3 linked regions of the Yarrowia lipolytica genome follow. Each later gene encodes a partner of the first gene's protein in a complex. Links are inferred from orthologs where the notes say so. Each region holds a gene or a part of one and is shown in the gene's direction. Other genes may lie near its edges.

Region 1 (6,325 bases):
CTCCTCCGCGGGCTCCATTTCATTGTCCCCTTTAGACGACACGGCTAGACCTCCCCACATATGGTCTAGCGTTGGCAATCGTCATAGTACATGAGAGGTGTCCAAAGTCTATTGTCGCCTTTTTTTGTGCCCTTTTTTTGCCCTCTTTTGCCCAGATGGTCGAGAGTTTAGGTCGATTAGAGGAGATGGGAAATAGCGGTGGGTGGACCTACAATTCGATTGAACAGAAGCAGAATAGATGGCAAAAAGGCAGTAAACAACTTGCCGGATACAGACGGGTGTTATATGTAGCAATTGGTTTTTCTACTACCGAAAATAGCAGCACATATGCCCAATTGTTCAATCCGCCCTGACCCCACCGCAAGATTTGGAAGTGCAAAGAAGCTGTCGGAAGTGTCGGAAAAAAAGTCAAATTTCGCCCATGCCTCACAGACCTTATATACTCTAGGCCCGCCACAACCAGACGCAATGTTCCGGACCCTATCACTTACAGCTAGAAGCCTTCGATCTAGCCCTCTCAAGTCCCCTCTCTTACTCACCAACACACGCGCCTTCCACGCCTCTATCACAAACATGGGTGTCACAGTTAAGCAGCTCCAGCCCGGCGACGGCAAGACCTACCCCAAGAAGGGAGATGCCGTCACCATCCACTACGTGGGCACTCTGGAGAACGGCCAGAAGTTTGACTCTTCTCGAGATCGAGGCGAGCCCTTCAAGACCACCATTGGTGTCGGCGATGTCATCCGAGGATGGGACGAGGGTGTCCCCAAGCTCTCTCTCGGCGAGCGATCCGTGCTCACCATCTCCGGTGACTACGGCTACGGCGAGCGAGGTTTCCCCGGCCTCATCCCCCCCAACGCCACTCTTGTCTTTGACGTTGAGCTCCTCGGTATCAACTAAATTGGCAGACCATGATGAATGATGGACGACCATCCCCAGTCGTGTCACACTATGTAAAGTAACAGATGTAATTAGCTATGAGGAGTCACGTGACCCAGCGACCTTTGGAGATGGCCAGCAAGTGCCGTTACGGTACCATTAGCTCCAATTGACCACACAGACCCTTCGTTCAACATCCATTGCACTGCCCGGACACCCACCACTGTAAAAACACAGGCTAGACTCCACATGACGTCAACGTGCACCATACTTGTACCAAAACATGCACTCATTTCAAACATTGGCAGCTATTATGGGACCATACTGGCAAGGAGATGCGCTGTAAGATGCGTAGCTGTGGTGCCTGCAACGGGTTTGTTCGTCCGCTCTGTGGGCTATATGCTTGAACCCCGTACCGAGTAATTACACTGCTTAGGCTTAGTAATGTATGAGTACAATGCACTCGCTGGCGTTCGGTAATTTCGTACTGGAACGAGACAGTTACTCCATCTTAATCTGACACCTCCTCGGCTACCGGCACTGTACCAGTACCGCGGAGATTTGACAGGTGTCAGCCCGAGGAAATTAGACAGTCGCTAAGGATGGCTAATTGCTTCTGGCTAGTCGAAAAAATCAAGGGCGTGTGCTACAGTATTTTAGGACCAGCATGTTGTGGTGGTTGGCTTCCGATGTCCTGTGTCATGTATACACGAATGTACACACATACAGTAACCGCAATTACACTACGATTTTGTTTACTTTACCAGTTACGGTAAACATACCAAGTCTCTCTTCGTGAGTAAAAGCAGTAGAAGCTCTTCTGTACCATCCCAACTACTAAAAGTACAGATCTTCTACAGCTAGCCCAGCTATCCAAGCTCATGTTTATGTCATTAGTAAGCATTATATATGGTATCTTGTACTCGTACATTCCTCCCCCCCTTCAATCTCAAACACACCTCATCACTTCTTTCTCCTGGTGCTGCGCCGAGGAGCAGGTTTCTTCACCCCACCAGACGACTTTTTCGGCGTCGGCGTCTCTTCTCGTTCTGTAGCTGTATCTTCGGGTTCCGTTGTCGCCTTCCGTCTCGTCGACCGTCTCGGAGCGGAGGAAGCACGGGTGCTGGGCGACGACTTTTTGTCGCGAACAGTCTTGCCCTTTGAGGTCCCTCGGCCACGAACAGCTGCTGCAGTGGCTGCTCGCGTTCTTCGTTGGCGGCCTGTTTGTGCGTCCGAGTCAGACTGTGATTCCGAACCGGATTCACTCTCCGATTCTCCAGATTCTTCTCCTTCTCCTTCCTCCTCCGATTTTTCAGCTTCCTCGGGCTCTGCACTACCCTCCATGGTGTCGTGCTCTTCTTCTCCTCCGTTCTCCTCCCGTTCCTGCTGCTCTCCCTCCACCTTGATCTTGGTTTCCGCCAGTTTCATCTCCTCGTCGTCCAGTTCATCCAGATCACTGGACTCGTCGTCATCGTCAGCAAGGCCCTTCTTTTCATCCCCAGCTGTGGGTCCGTCTTCCAAGACAGACTGCTCGCGCGACATGGCTGGACTAGACTGTTCACTGGCAACCGCAGTAGCCTGCTCAATCTGCAGAAACCCATAATCGCGGAACGGCAGCACGAACTCCTTCATCTGCGACCGCTTTGCGATCCCTTCAATCGCAGCCTCGTCATCCTCATCCTCGTCCATGTCCGAATCCTGGTTGTCGGCCACGTACTCCAGTTCGTCTAGTCCATCCAGGTCGTACAGAGTGCCCAGCTTGTCCCACACGTCCTGGTGAGAGAACACAGGCGCGTCCTTCGGCGATTCGGAAAAATAGTAGTTCAGCGAAGCCGACAGAGAAATCATGCGGAAATGTTTGTGGATGCCCACGGGCTTGAACTTGCACAGCGAGTTGAACAGCACTGTCTCGCTCTCTATGGACCATGGAGAAGAGTCTGTTCCGGCATCACCTTGTCCGTTACTCTCAACTTCTGCTCCGTCCACTGCTTGTGTCGATGTGTCGTCTGTATCTTCCCTTTTCACCATCCCCGTCTCATCTTCCTCTTTTTTCTTCATGATGCAATGTCGTTAGTATGGTACAGTTGTGATTGTAGATGGTGCTCCGGCTCTACGGTTCGTGTGCTACCTCTCAACCTCCTGCACGTTGACCTTGTGCTTGGTGGTGTAGCGAGTGTTTACATTGTCTGTAGCACTTTCAACTAACTTCCAACTAACCCCCAACTAACATTTACACATCACCAAACTCTCTTAAGATTGGGACTTTTGTCACCTCTCATTTACTCCCACCTACACCTCAGTTACCCTACCGTGCATCTGAGTGAAAAATTCAATCACAAGATATACATCACCACCCCAAAATGCCCCATAAAGCGAAAAACCTCTTCTCTCTGGCTCGAGGTAAGGTGCGAGCCTCATGGAACCCCCGCAACCTGTACAACTTGTACAAGAAGACGGACTTTCTGCGGGATGAAAAGACGCTTTTCCAGAAGAAGTGGGCCTCCAAGCGAGAGCTGCGAGCCTATCATGGAGAACACATTCGAGAGGGTACCTTGACCACTCAGATCCCCAAGAAGCTGCAGGGTGTGGTTCTGCCTCTGGGAGACGACGTGACCTCCGAAGGAATCATGGCTAACCGATTCGACGATCAGATGCTGGAGTTTGATGCCGAGGGCAACAAAAAGCTCAAGACGCCGTTTGCCATGCAGACGTTTGTGCATCTGGAGAAGCGACTGGACTTTGCCGTGTTCCGGTCCATGTTTGCCGCATCCATTCGACAGGCCGGCCAGTTTATTCGACAGGGCAATGTGACTGTCAATGGAGTCAAGATCAAGCATGCCTCCTACACCCTCAAGCCCGGAGATCTCATCTCAGTCAAGCCCGAGAAGGTCCTCTTTGCTGCCGGTAAGGCCAAGCCTTCCGTTGAGGAGGCTGTCAAGATCGACAACCGACAGATCAAAAAGTACAACCAGTACATCAAAAAGTGCAACGATGATCCTGAGAAGATGTGGAACGTGCGTCTCGACAAGATCAAGAAGCGAGAGGCTGGAAAGCTGATGGACCCCAAGACGCAGATGCAGCTTCAGAAGGCCAACGAGGTGGCCTTCCAGGCCATGCTGGCCCGTCTCCGAGAGCTGTGCTCCGCTGCCATCTTCGAGGATCTCATCACTGGCCGAGACGAGTTTCTTAAGACCCAGACTGACGATACCAAGGTTCTGGGTGAGAAGCTACTCAAGCTAATTGACCAGCAGTTCCCTGCCAACGGTGCGGACCCGGTCGCTCCCACTGCTGAGGGTTTCCTAACCCCCGAGGCCGTCATTGAGCTTCTCAACGAGCGATCCACCAAGCTGGCCCAGGAGGCTGAGACAAAGGCTGAGGCCGCGGTAGAGGGCTCTGCTGAGCAAAAGAAGGCCGAGACCGTGCGCTCCAATGCCAATCATCTTATTGAGCAGCGAAACAAGAACATGGCGGGCATCGGCTCCAAGAAGCTGGAGTTTGCTATCCATCCCAAGGACATCAACCACGTCTCGTCCATCGAGAGCCCTCATACGAAGAACATTGTGTCCAGCTGTCTAATTTCGCGAAAAGCCGAGTTTGCCGGAGTCGAGGAGCGAAAGGTGGTCTACGCCGCCCGATGCCTCATCCAGGAAATGAAGACCAACGTGGCTGACTCTATCCACGACAGCTACAATGAGCATCAGCAAAAGCTGCTGAATCCCTCTGTCCAGGACACCGAGGTCAACCCCCGATGGCTGCAGCTGCTAGGACCTCTGCGAGAGAAGATTGATGCTGCCGAAGCCGCTGAAAACGAGGCCGAGGTCGCCCAGGAGTTCCCCTGGCAGAAGAAGCATCTGTACGGCCGACAGGATATCTCTAAGCCCTACTTTACACCCTGGAGATTCCGACCCTTCATTTCTCCTTCGGTTATCTACCCCCACCACATTGAGGTTGACTTCACTACCTGCTCCGCCGTCTACCTGCGAGACCCTGTTGCCCGACCCGGAATGTCGGAGGTCATTTCTCCCTTCCCTCTGATCAACCACGAGTTTGCCAACTTATACTACATTAAGAAGTAGTTTGTATATACTGTATTAGCATTGAAAGCGAAATTTGAATACTGTAGAGACCGGTCTCAACTGTTGTACATACTATAGTATGTACAGTATGTACTTGTATAAAATGTGCAATTACTGTAGCACTACTTGTATTAATATGGATAGATGAATACGGAAAGCATAGTAACGTCAATGTCCATCATATTCGTCTTTATCACATTCCACGACATTCGTAGTATGTACTGTATGTACTTGTGTTGTAACAAATATGATTTCGGAAATACAGTATATATATGACAGTTACTTGTGCCGTACTTTTTGTAGCGATACTGTTGGTATACATACTGTATCCTACATCTTTCGTATCAATGTTATTAAATATTAACCACTGCTGTGATCAACAACAGAGGTGACGAGCTTGCCGTTGACAATCTTGTGGATGAGCTGCTCGGGAACAGGCACTTCCTCATAGTCTCCATCGTCGGTGGGGATGTTGATGTTTAAGGAAGTGGTCTGCGAAGTATACACCTCAGCACCAATGCTCTCCTTGGACAGATAGATCTGTCCTCCGTCACTCTGGTCAATAGTGACCATGGGGGTAACACCAGTCACCTGGATGGCGTAGTCCTTGCATCGAATCACGTCAACTCCAGAAACCAGGTTCTCCACCAGAAGACCAAGCTTCTTACAGTTGTTGAGAGACACAGCCGACACCTTGCCCTTGATCTGCACCGTTGAGTTGTTGCAGTTCTCGATCATGACACCCTGGTTCATCTCGCCCTCGATGACAATGTTCTGGTCGCCCTCGTAGTTCTCAACAAACCATTTCGTGTCAAGCAGCTCGGTCTTGGCGGGTCGCTGCTTGGGGGCAGGGGCAGCAGGAGTGGCCTTAGACAAAGATCCGGGCTTTTTGGGAGGAAGAGGTCGAGCTGCCTTTCCGGAGGCGCCAACAGGGTCCTGTTTTCGCAGATCGGGGTTTTTGTGGGTCATTTCGCTCTTGTCGACCTTTCGCAGACCAGCAGTGACAGCCTCGCCCTTGGACAGGTCAGCAAACACTGCACCCATACCACCAGAAGGAGCAGCAGGAGCAGCAGAGTCTGTCTCGTAGATGCTAGCAGGAGGAGGAGGAGGGGGAGGAGGAGGAGGAGGGCCTCCTCCTGTGGCAGGAGCTCCACCGGGAGCGGGGACAGCAGTGGGAGCAGCGACAGACTTGGATTGAGTCTTTAGAGCCTCCTCAACAGGGATACCTCCAACCTTCCAGGTGGGACCGGTGGTGTGGAACTCCTTGACGTAGGCTTGGAGAGCGTCGGCGATGCCGTTGAAACCCTTGACCCATTCCACATGCTTGGGGTCCACGCTCTTGAAGTCCTTGAGCACCCGGTTGGAGTAGA
Region 2 (5,806 bases), on another chromosome or scaffold:
TTCTTGCCTCCAAGGCCGCTATGCAGATTCGATACCTGGACGCCATGCAGAACATGTCTCGAAGCGCCAACTCCAAGGTCATTTTCATGCCCTCTGCCGGCGCCATTGAGAACATTGCTGATCAGGCGGGAGCCGGATCTTCGAAAGACGACGACCTGACTAATACCGCAGTCAACCAGACCGCCATGTTCGAGGCTCAGTTTGACCGGGTTTGATGGAGTTGAGCCTGCCACTTTCCTTTCTTGAGTATTTATAACTAATTAGTCTATTATATTTAATGTTGAACAGAGGCAGAAGAATAGAGAGATTATTGGCTAGCAATAATGCTGTTGAAAGTCAGATATACTGTCTGTAGATACTGAGCAGCTCTTGTAGGACTTGTTACGGTGATGGTGACGTCGCAGCGCGAACAAAACTGAAACCGTCGAAGCTATCTACTTGTAGTAGTCTACTAGAACACGAGGCATCTGTCTTCAATCCAACTTCGCATCTGTCTTCAATCCAACCTCACATTGTACATACTGATACAGTACCGTGGCAGCTCTACTTCCTTCAGTCTATCAACTCAAACTGAATCAATGGCGTAAGACAGGGCCTCACTGACGGTGCCCGAGAGTACAGCGCGGCTAATTGTGACATAATATTGGTCTTCTGTCTCCTAGGAACAATATTCAGCAATATATCGCCACCAACATCACTTTGCATTCCTCATTAGGACATGCAACCAGCCTTTTAACCCGCATCTTCAAGTACGGTAAGGAGTAGATGAGAGACCTACCAAGAAAAAACGCCCTGGTACTTGATATTGGGTAAAAGGGTAACAGGGCCGGCGTCTGTCTCTTTCGCCGTCATTCTACTTGCCACTGATCTACAAGCATCTGTAACTCCCCCTCCTCTCAGGAGCGCTACTTGTAGAATGTCCGACTAATATATCTCGATGAATAACATTTGAGCTTGAAATTTTTAACATTTTGGAGACTGTCAATGCGAATGTTGATGTGACATATACAGCACTATTTGCGTGTTTCGGATGGGGAGAAGTTTGTGGAATCAATTTACATTGTCATTATGAGTTCATGTGCATTTTTTCCCGCCAAGTTTCTCACAAAATTCCACGTTCCGGGTGTGTCCCTTTTTTTTTCTCTTTTTTTTCTTTTTTTTGCTTTTTTTTGCTTTTTTTTGTCTCGACATTAGTGCGTCTATCATGCACTGTATTTTTTAGTCGTCTGCGCTCCAAACTCTTTTTTTCACTTCGACAATACATGAACCCAGGAGCCAGCTGAGTAACACGAGACTCCCAAGGGAACGTGTCCCTACTTGTGAACCACATGTTCAAGAGCCAACTTCTGTTGAGCAATGACGCGTTGAAATACGCAAGAGCCTTCAAGTAAGCCGCCTGGCCAAGTGTTGTAAGACCCGCACAGCTATTGTTGAGACTAACTGCCATGAGCTGAAACGCCATGCGCCAAGAGCGAGTGTTTTGAGCCGGACGAAATGCCCAGGCTCCTCCTCCGTGCCTTGTGTAGCCCACATGAGCAAGTCGCCAGAGCCATCCGACCGTGGGAAACTCGTGGGTGAAACCCCTTTCTGAGACACTCCCACGCCGCCTACTTGTAGTAGAACTGAAGCTGAGATGCCAGAGCTACCAGTGCGAATGCCGACAAGCCGCTGAGAAGCCAGCCGAGACGCACTAGAGCAAAGATCGTAAGACACCTCCACGGTCAAGAGCAATGCAACAGTCTGAGTGAGCCAATGAGTCCTACACGGCAATAATGCCAAACGCCCGTCCCTCCAGCCAGAGCAGAGCCAGAGCCAGTACCACAGAACAGAGCTAGTAAGTCCAAAGAGCAGTGAAAGCCAGATCCAAGCCTGAGTCAATCAACTCGGACGGACAGCCATCCAGAGTGCTGTACACATGTTGCATGTCGGAAAATGTGAATAGGACGTAGGCAGTTGAACCTCCTCAGGAGGATGTAGGCTGACCGAACCTATGCTGTTAATTAATCAAGGGGAGTAGGTGAAAGAACCGCACCTCTTGGGATAATACATTAGGCCGTTGAGCACCTCCCCGTATTGTGAGTTGTAGTAGGTAGAAGTCGTATACAGTCGTAAATACAGTACATATAAACATGTCTGAAAACAGTCTGTTTTCTCAAGTGAAATTTTGGGGTTACCCGGCCTGGCAGAATAAGGGAAGTGATCACAACTCCAGTTGTAGTCCCTAAGGGAGCATTTATAACCACACCAGCGTGTTATTTGGACCATTGCGATCATTCTGGTATCCAAATAACGCACTTTGGCGGCTTCTGACCCAGTATATGTCTGGGATATGTTGCACTCGTGGAATTAACTAGACTTTAGTTAAGGCCGTAAGTGGTCTGGAGTCTCAAATTTGGGATCATTGGACTATTTCTGAAGTGTGAAGACCCTCAAATCATCAATTAAGCCATTATTACTCGAATAATGTAACATCATTTCCACATTCCCTTACATACTGTCAAGTAGTCGCAGTCAACGCCATATTCCAGTGTTTGTATATACTTAGGTTTTAGTTGGAGTGAAATCGCAGACTACAGGCAAGCAGTAGAGCAGGAATCAACAATGTAGTCAGTAACATCTGATTACCACGGGATTGACACTCAATCAGCCGTTTTTCATAAACCAGATGAATATACAAGCATTTCCTATCTAATTGAACAACAGTATCTGTCGAAACCCATCTAGATACGAGTTTTCTCTCATCCATTGGTATTGAGATCGGCAAGAGGGTCACTACCACGGTGGTCTCCACGAGAATCACCAAAAGAACGAGATCAGTAGTTACAATACCCATGAAACAACACTTGATTAACGTCTTTTCCCTTTTTCTCCAAGGTCTCATCAGTATTGAGATCACTCTCTTCCTCATTTCTCACTTGGTCACTTCCTCACTTACATAATCAGCATTCTGCAGATACAGAATCTCTCAATAGTCCTGATATCAACACAACACAGTCCAACTTGAATCAAAAAAAACCAAAAAAAAAAAAAAAAAAAAAAACCAAGTGGTCACCTCCATCGTCTATCACGTAACCGGTTCGTTCCATTTCCTTCAAAAGCCCCGTTATCTTTCCCTCAATATCGCACTCAACACACCCCACATCCAAGAGCCCTCTGTCGCTGATTCACCTCCCAATGTTACCCTACCTTTGTGCAAGGTGAAATTTCCAATTTTCCAGCACCAGCACAAACAACAGGGTACCACCGAACATGCTGAGATCTATCCGACGGTACTCGACCAAGTCGCCGTTCGCCAAGGTCGGCTCCAAGACCCAGTCCTACGACTACCTGCGAGCGTTGCGGGTCACCCCCGCCGAGACTTTTGCCGATGTCCCTCTGTCTCCCGAGCTGGAGCAGGAGCTGTCCACCAAGTTCCAGGAGTTCCAGAAGGCTCTCAAGGCCGGTGAGAAGCTGGAGCAGGTCAAGGAGATTGCACGACAGGCAAGAGGCACCAAAAACGCCGCTGCCGGCGGGGACCCCCAGGCCGATCTGTCTTCCCTGATGGGCCGAATCGACAGTAAGAACATCCGAGTGGGTAATGACCAGAGTAAGATTGCTGCCATTTTCCCGTTGCTCAAGCGAACCGCCCGAGATGAGGAGTACACCAAGCAGGAGCTGTTTCTGCGACGACAGCACCGACACGATATGCTCAGCAAGTTGGGAGCCGAGGTCAAGGGCGTCTACGATCCTCTCCATATCATCAAGCATCCCAAGAGTGGCACCGAGGCCACCGTGACCAGTCTTCTGGCTGCCGGCGCTCATCTGGGCCATGCCGTCGAGCTCGGTCACGTCAACAACCAGCCTTTCATCTACGGCGTTCGAGACGGCATTTCCATCATTGATCTTGAGCAGACCGTCACCCAGCTGCGACGAGCTGCTCGAATCACCGAGGCTGTTGCCAAGCAGAACGGTCTGATTCTGTTTGTCGGCACCCGTGACGGCCAGAAGCTGGCGCTCGAGGCCATGTCGCGACGATGCGGCGCTTCCTACGTGCACTCCAAGTGGATTCCTGGAGCCATCACCAACTTTTCCAACATTGCCGCCAACTGGAAACGATACGAGGTGGTGGACGGCGAGTCTGGAACCAGCTTTGCCGACATCAACCAGCACACTGGCCGAGAGTTTGACGCAGAGATCTCGGGCCCTAACATGCGACCTGATCTGGTTATCATCCTCAACCCCGACGAGAACCCCGCTCTGATCCGAGAGTGTCTCAAGTCCTGCATCCCCACTGTCGGAGTGGCCGACACCAACTTTAACCCTTCCAAGCTGTCGTACCCCATTGCCGCCAACGATGACTCTCTCCGAACCACGGATCTGATCACTGGAGTGCTGGCTCGAGCAGCCGAGAAGGGACACAAGCTGCGACGGTTCGAGGAGCAGCAGCGACGAAACGCCGAGCTTCTGCACATGAAGAAGAATCTTGTGCAGGCTGCCGATGAAAATGACGTGACCGAGGACCCTTTCTCCTCCGGAGAGGCCCACAAGGAGTAATGTACATATAGGAGACCATGAATGAGAGGTATTCGCGAGAATGCCAGTGTATTGAATAACAGAATGACACTGTGACCCTCGAGCAGATCGAGATATATGACTAGTAGTGAGAACAAAATTGAGACTGTGCATGTACTGAGCTCTTCTATAGAGAATCGAAATATGAAGACTTTGGAACCGTTCTACGATACAATACATACTTGTAATGTCTGAGTATGGTGCGAGTAGGTAGTACGATAATGTGGTGGGGTGGAATGAAAACAACGCTGTTGACTGCACTGAAGTAGATGTTCAATCATATCATACATGTTAATCTATATATCGTGGTCTTGTTCAGTAGTACATAAGCTGTCATCTTGCTATGCTCAAGGCTCATGTGCACCAGACGCATTCCTGTACATTCGCATAAACCGCGAAGTCGGCTTCTGCTGTGTACCGCCTCCAATCTGGGGGCTCTGGGGTTGCTTCATGGTCTGCGACATATCCATGAGCTGCTGCGCGACCTCAGGCTTGATTCGGTCGTACCGTCGCATTCGGATCTGCGGGTTATTGTACTCCTTGGACAGCTCGTTGGTCATGAGCAGATCCAGACATTGTCGGATCTCGATGAAGGTGGTCGACAGCGACGCGTTGCCTCCGTCCAAATGCAGCGTCGTCACAAACTGCTCCATGTATTGAATGTCCACGTTGTAGTTGTGCACGGCCTCGGTGGTGATGAGGCCCCGGGGCGCATTCAACAGAATCTGCAACAACGAAGAAGCCAAATGGTCAAACGCGCCAAAGTAGACGTAGTTCTTGATGGCAAAGGGTAGGTCGGCGAGCGTGGAGTTGAAAAAGATCGTAAGGAAGTTGACCATTTCGTCCAGATATGAGGAAGGTTCATCGGACGAAACTGTGGTCGACCAATCGTAGTCCTCGAGCTCCATGAAGTTGTCCACCGTCTGGGTCACGTGCTCGAATATTCGTGACTCGGCCTTGGCGGACGCCTGCTGGAACTTCTTCTGGGCCTTGAGTGTAATCTTCGACTTTCGTTGCGACGGACGACCGTCCACAATGCTCTGGGCAATGAACGGAATAACCCGCTCAAACTGCTGCAGGTCGATCAGAATCTGCACAATCTGCTCTCGGGTCGTGGTCATAAGCCGATGCAGCAGCGTGTCGCAGATAATGTCATTCAGCAGACTATCCATGGCCTGCTGCACGTAGTCCTCCGTCTGGGTAACTTCAGACACATTGAACTCGTCCAGAAATGCATAGTGCTGGTGAATCAGAT
Region 3 (4,980 bases), about 1.5 Mb from region 1:
GCTACAGAGGCGTCAACCACACGAACCCCCATATCGACTGCCTTCATGACGTTGGCAACACCCTGGCCGTAAGTGTCGTGGGCGTGAATAGCCAGCATCTCAGCGGGCACCCGTCGCATCACCTGATCCAACATCATCTCAATGGTTCCGGGAGTTCCAACACCGATAGTGTCACCTAGAGATACCTCGTAACATCCCAGATCAATGAGTCTCTGAGCTAGCTCTGCCACACGTGCGGGTTCTGTGGGACCGTCATAGGGACATCCAATGACGGTAGACAGGTAGCCTCGGACCTTGACTGGGTGGCCAGCGTTACGGGCCAGTTTCAGAACTTCCTCGAATCGCTCAAAGCTCTCATCAACAGTGCAGTTTGTATTCTTTTTAGCGAAGCCATCGGAAGAAGCAGCAAAGATGGCCACCTCCTTGGCTCCGAGCTCCAATGCCTTCTGCATGCCCTTGGCATTAGGGGTCAGCACTGGGAAGTCGACAGTGGTTCCTCCATGGGTCTGGTTGCAGTGTTTCAGAATGGCTTCATTATCTGCCATGGCAGGGACCCACTTGGGCGACACAAACGAGGTCACCTCCACAGTCTGAAGGCCGGTAGCTACCAGCCGGTCAATCAGAGAAGTCTTAGTTTCGGTGGAAGGGATCTTCTTTTCGTTTTGAAGACCGTCTCGAGGCGCAACCTCGACGATTCGAACAAACGCGTTGGAGTGGTGCTGGAGACGGGCAAGTGTTCTTCGCATTGTGTGTTTAGCAGTCGTTAGGATCGATAGTCTGAATCATCTTGCAAACAGGATCGGCTATCGAATTTATACTTTGAATTCTGTGGGTCACCTTCGGCGCACTGTCGGAGTATGTGAAGTGTCGCTGGGTCCGGAACCTTATTCGACTGCTCTCTATAATGAAGCAAGCAGATACACTGATATCTGGAGAGCGCAAGCCATTATTATATATTTACCGTACAAAAGTCGGCTTTATGAAGGTTCTAGAACAGTCTTGTCTCGGCTAGGCAGAACCCAGGCTGCAAAACAGCCAGTATTAGTGAGTACAAACTGTACGAGTAAATACAATAACCGCCTGCACGTGCTGTATTTTGCTCAGTCGTCTATTAAATGATAATTTACAATGCATTTATAACACCTTCTAAACCTCCTCCTCCAGCTTGGCAAGAGCCTCCTGGTATCCGTCGTTATGGGAACTGTTGATATGAGTGGCATCCACCTCCTGGGTTCGACCCACAAACTCGCCAATCTCCCGGAACCACTTGGCTTCTCCAGAGCCAGTGAGGAAGGTGTATGCGTTACCTTCTCTGCCTGCTCGGGCAGTTCGACCCACTCGATGCACATACTCTCGCTTTCCACTAGGGATATCGTAGTTGATCACATTATCCACCACGAAATCGATACCTCGAGAAACCAAATCGGTACAGACCAGAAAGTCGATCTTGCCATCAATAAACTGCTTCATGGACCGTCGTCGGTGCACAGAAGAAGTCTCGGCAGAAACAGCCGCTATCTTCCAATCCTTGTGGAAAATGTCCGCGTCCATAATCTCCATCATGCGAGCCACACGAGCAGCAGTTTCGGAACTCTTAGTGAACACCACGCCTCTGTTGATATCTCTCTGCACTAGCAGCTCGCACAGCATAAGAGGCTTCTCGGCAGCAGACACGTGGGTGACAATCTCTGTAAGACTCTTGGGAATAGAGTAGCTGTCAGAACTACCAATGACAAAAACGCCAGGATTGTGGATGTCCATGGATGCAATGTGTTCGGGGTTGGCTGTGAGGGTGGCTGAGAAAATAAGTGTTTGCATGTTTCGAACGTAGTGCTCAGTGAGGTTGGTCTTACCAGCCTGGGCCCGCTGCTGGTTGTTCTGCAACACAGAGGCCCAGTCGTAGTAGTCCTGGCCAAGCAGACGATCGGCCTCGTCAACCACCAGAAATTCGATGTAAGAGAAGAGCTCGGGGTTCTCCTTCACTTGCTCCACAAGTCGACCAGGGGCTGCCACAACGATATCGGCAGTCTCCAGAACAGCCCGTTCACGTTTGGTGCTTCGGTCGTTTCGAAGAGCCACAACAGACAAAGAAGATCCCTTGGATAGGTTTTCAAGCACGTCTCGGACTTGCATGACCAGGGGCTTTGTAGGGAGTACAACCACAGCTCTGATTCGAGGAACAATACGGTCTCGGAGCTTCTCGATAATGGGGATTCCGTAAGTGGCGGTCTTACCGGAACCGGTGGATGCAGAAACAAGAAGATCGGGCTTTCGATCGGGGGCAAGGAGCTTTTGCTGGGCCAGAAGCCAAGGAATGACTGCCTTCTGCACAGAAAATGCCTTTGTGTATCCTAAAGTGTCCAGGTTCTTCATCATATTTTTGCTCAGATCAAACTCATCAAATGATCCAACATCGTCAATTTCCACATAAGTAGCATTTCGCAAAATGGGCTGTGTCTGAAGTTGGGTCTTTCGAGAGATGGTTGCACTCTCATCGGGTTTATCCTCATAGATTTCAGTCTGGGGAAGCTCCTCGAAGCCCTTAGCTCGAATGGTTCCCTTAGCAAGCTTGATTTTGTTGTTGCCAGAAATCTTGATAGGCGCCAGATCATCTTCACTATCAGAGTCCTCCTCGCCCATATGCTGTTCTCGCTTTCGCTTTCGCTCTAGAGCCTTTTCCTCCGCTCGCTTGGCCAGGTTGGCGGCTTCCTGCTTCTTCTTTCGCTTCTGGTCGGCTGTAAGGTTCTCATCTTCGCTCTCCTCCTCGTCCTTGACCTCCACGGGCTTCTTGGCCTCCTCAGCCTCATCCATGGAGTCGTCCCCAGACTCCTCCTCATATTCCACCTCAGAGTGCTCGTCAGCATTGGTTTCAGGCTTGCTTTCCTCCTCCTCGTGTTTGACCTTCTTGAATGGTACAGGCGACGCCTGTCCGCCCTGGGTAGGGTCAAATCGACGAACTCCAGTGAACATGGTGATGTGTGTTTCGTGGTGTGCTGCAGGCTCGAAATAAATTTATTTGTATGTAGGCCTAAGATTTTCATGCACGAGTATCAAATAGAGTTTAGGTGTAGTAAGCGTTTTTACATCACCCTTTTTGCACTTCAGACCACTCCGAAAATGCTGCCAACACGGGTTCTTTGTCGTTCCGCCTGGAAATGTGAGTATTTCATTTGGTGAACCGAGTGCAGGGAAGAAGATTTTTGCCACTCGTTTTCACCATACTCGCGTGATTCGCCTGTACTTCGTTGCAATACGAGTGACACCACAGGCACAAAGGTATTGGCGATTGTCAAACCGGAAATTGATTGGTTGGACCGGGTGATAACACGGGCCAGTCAGGTTGTTGCCTCTCGATTCGTCGTCAGAACACCTCTCAGCTCTCGCGACTACGCACAGAATCTGCTAGTTGTTCTCCATTGACCAGATCAACACATCGCCAAATCAAGACATGACACACATCCTCCAAAGCTAACACAGGCCCTCACATTGTCCCTATCGACCTGAAGCCATGGGCTACAAAGAAGCAGCCTATCCAGACCGATAAGCGAGCCGCAACCATCATCCCCCAGTTTGTTGGTGTGACCTTCCACGTCCACAACGGTAAGGAGTACGTTCCTGTCAACGTCACCCAGGATATGGTCGGAACCAAGCTTGGCGAGTACGCTTACACTCGAAAGCCCTTCCGATACCGACAGACCAAGAACTAATTTGTATATAGCCAAGATTCATGCCTCAGAAGCTGTACATACTGTACTGTAGCTTTACAGTGCCTGAAGAGCCACCTGACTTCACCTACAAGTAGCTATTCACATGGTGATACGCTAAAGTCTTTGTATCTATCCATAGATACAGCGACTTTTTCCACCCAATACGTAAGATGGGAATTTTGAGCCAGGATAATAAATCTCGCATCTTGGCTCTAAGAGTAATTGAACTTTTAGTTAGATTTTTAGTTGATACCGTAAAACATTAGTGGAACTTATCGGTGGGGGTAGTATGTACACTACACATCCACTGAATACTCGTGCTACATTCTTCAAGTCACATTGCCAAAGTTACTGTTTATAAATATACATGCCTACATTCGATTTCCACGGGAGTCGACATTTTTGAGTCGGTATTCTCGTAGCTCGCCGGTTCGGTCCACCTGCGAGCCATTGCCCCATCCTCTTAGACGGATAACCATGCAAGTGGCATTGTCCGAGCCACCCAAAGCCGCTGCGTACTCAACCACCTCCTGGGCAGCCTGCTGTGGCGATCCTCGTCCAGAACCGCTACTGTTGGCGGTAATGGTTACCAGGTCCACGATCTCTTGATCAGACACGTCGCCAGAAACTCCGTCGGAAACCAGCACCAGGAACTGTTCGTCCTGGAGTGCAACCTCTCGCACGTCGGGCTCGGCACTCACACCCTTGGCCTTCATAAGTGTGTCTCCAAAGGCTCGGGTGTTGGCAAAGACACCGAACCGCTCCTCGCCGAAGGAGTCCATGAAGAATGAAGATGCAAATCGACGCAGACGATCGGCCTCGGTGGGAGCGCTGGGATGGTGGTCGATGGTAAGAGGTGTGGCCTCTCCTTTGGCATCACAGATGATGCATCGAGTGTCTCCGACATGGGCCACTACTAGAGAGAGGTCGTTCTCTGGGTCAAACATGTTATCCTCAGCCCCCGGCGGTAGGGGACCGGCCTCTGAATGGGCCACATGGCGACAATACAAGAACACCGATGTGCATGTACTTCCTCCTTTACCTTCAAAATCGTAGTCGGCCTCCAGGAACGCCAACGGTAGTCGTAACTGGAAGTCGTCGTAGGGGCTCATTCTACCCCGGTATTTGTCCATCTGCTTCCATCGGCGCCAGTAGCCTCCAAACCGCTCCTTGTACTTGGTGGTAATGTCGTCGGCGTCGTTGAGGTCAGCCTTCTCGACATAGGTGGCCAGTTTGTCCTTAAGAAACTCGGAGCACTCGTCGGATCCGTGGC

The links. The genes of interacting proteins can lie anywhere in the genome.
Region 2: YALI1_B14150g (region 1) and YALI1_F17431g share a complex: the UniProt entries of both Saccharomyces cerevisiae proteins name them as parts of the mitochondrial small ribosomal subunit. The link is inferred for Yarrowia lipolytica from reciprocal best matches to the Saccharomyces cerevisiae genes NAM9 and MRP4.
Region 3: YALI1_B14150g (region 1) and YALI1_B29507g share a complex: the UniProt entries of both Saccharomyces cerevisiae proteins name them as parts of the mitochondrial small ribosomal subunit. The link is inferred for Yarrowia lipolytica from reciprocal best matches to the Saccharomyces cerevisiae genes NAM9 and RSM19.

The regions. Positions count from the first base shown.
Region 1 is NC_090771.1:1,411,826-1,418,150, forward strand, and holds YALI1_B14150g (mitochondrial 37S ribosomal protein uS4m), read left to right. Parts: upstream 1-3,239; coding exon 3,240-4,955; downstream 4,956-6,325. Other genes in the region: YALI1_B14121g (uncharacterized protein), read left to right, coding at 328-900; YALI1_B14147g (uncharacterized protein), read right to left, coding at 1,843-2,937; YALI1_B14187g (uncharacterized protein), read right to left, coding at 5,316-6,325. UniProt on the Saccharomyces cerevisiae protein: Component of the mitochondrial ribosome (mitoribosome), a dedicated translation machinery responsible for the synthesis of mitochondrial genome-encoded proteins, including at least some of the essential transmembrane subunits of the mitochondrial respiratory chain.
Region 2 is NC_090775.1:1,740,555-1,746,360, reverse strand, and holds YALI1_F17431g (mitochondrial 37S ribosomal protein uS2m), read left to right. Parts: upstream 1-3,249; coding exon 3,250-4,533; downstream 4,534-5,806. Other genes in the region: YALI1_F17472g (uncharacterized protein), read left to right, coding at 1-215; YALI1_F17444g (uncharacterized protein), read right to left, coding at 1,384-1,869, 1,916-1,924; YALI1_F17383g (uncharacterized protein), read right to left, coding at 4,899-5,806. UniProt on the Saccharomyces cerevisiae protein: Component of the mitochondrial ribosome (mitoribosome), a dedicated translation machinery responsible for the synthesis of mitochondrial genome-encoded proteins, including at least some of the essential transmembrane subunits of the mitochondrial respiratory chain.
Region 3 is NC_090771.1:2,947,584-2,952,563, forward strand, and holds YALI1_B29507g (mitochondrial 37S ribosomal protein uS19m), read left to right. Parts: upstream 1-3,117; coding exon 3,118-3,157; intron 3,158-3,477; coding exon 3,478-3,707; downstream 3,708-4,980. Other genes in the region: YALI1_B29483g (uncharacterized protein), read right to left, coding at 1-746; YALI1_B29505g (uncharacterized protein), read right to left, coding at 1,147-2,970; YALI1_B29528g (uncharacterized protein), read right to left, coding at 4,079-4,980. UniProt on the Saccharomyces cerevisiae protein: Component of the mitochondrial ribosome (mitoribosome), a dedicated translation machinery responsible for the synthesis of mitochondrial genome-encoded proteins, including at least some of the essential transmembrane subunits of the mitochondrial respiratory chain.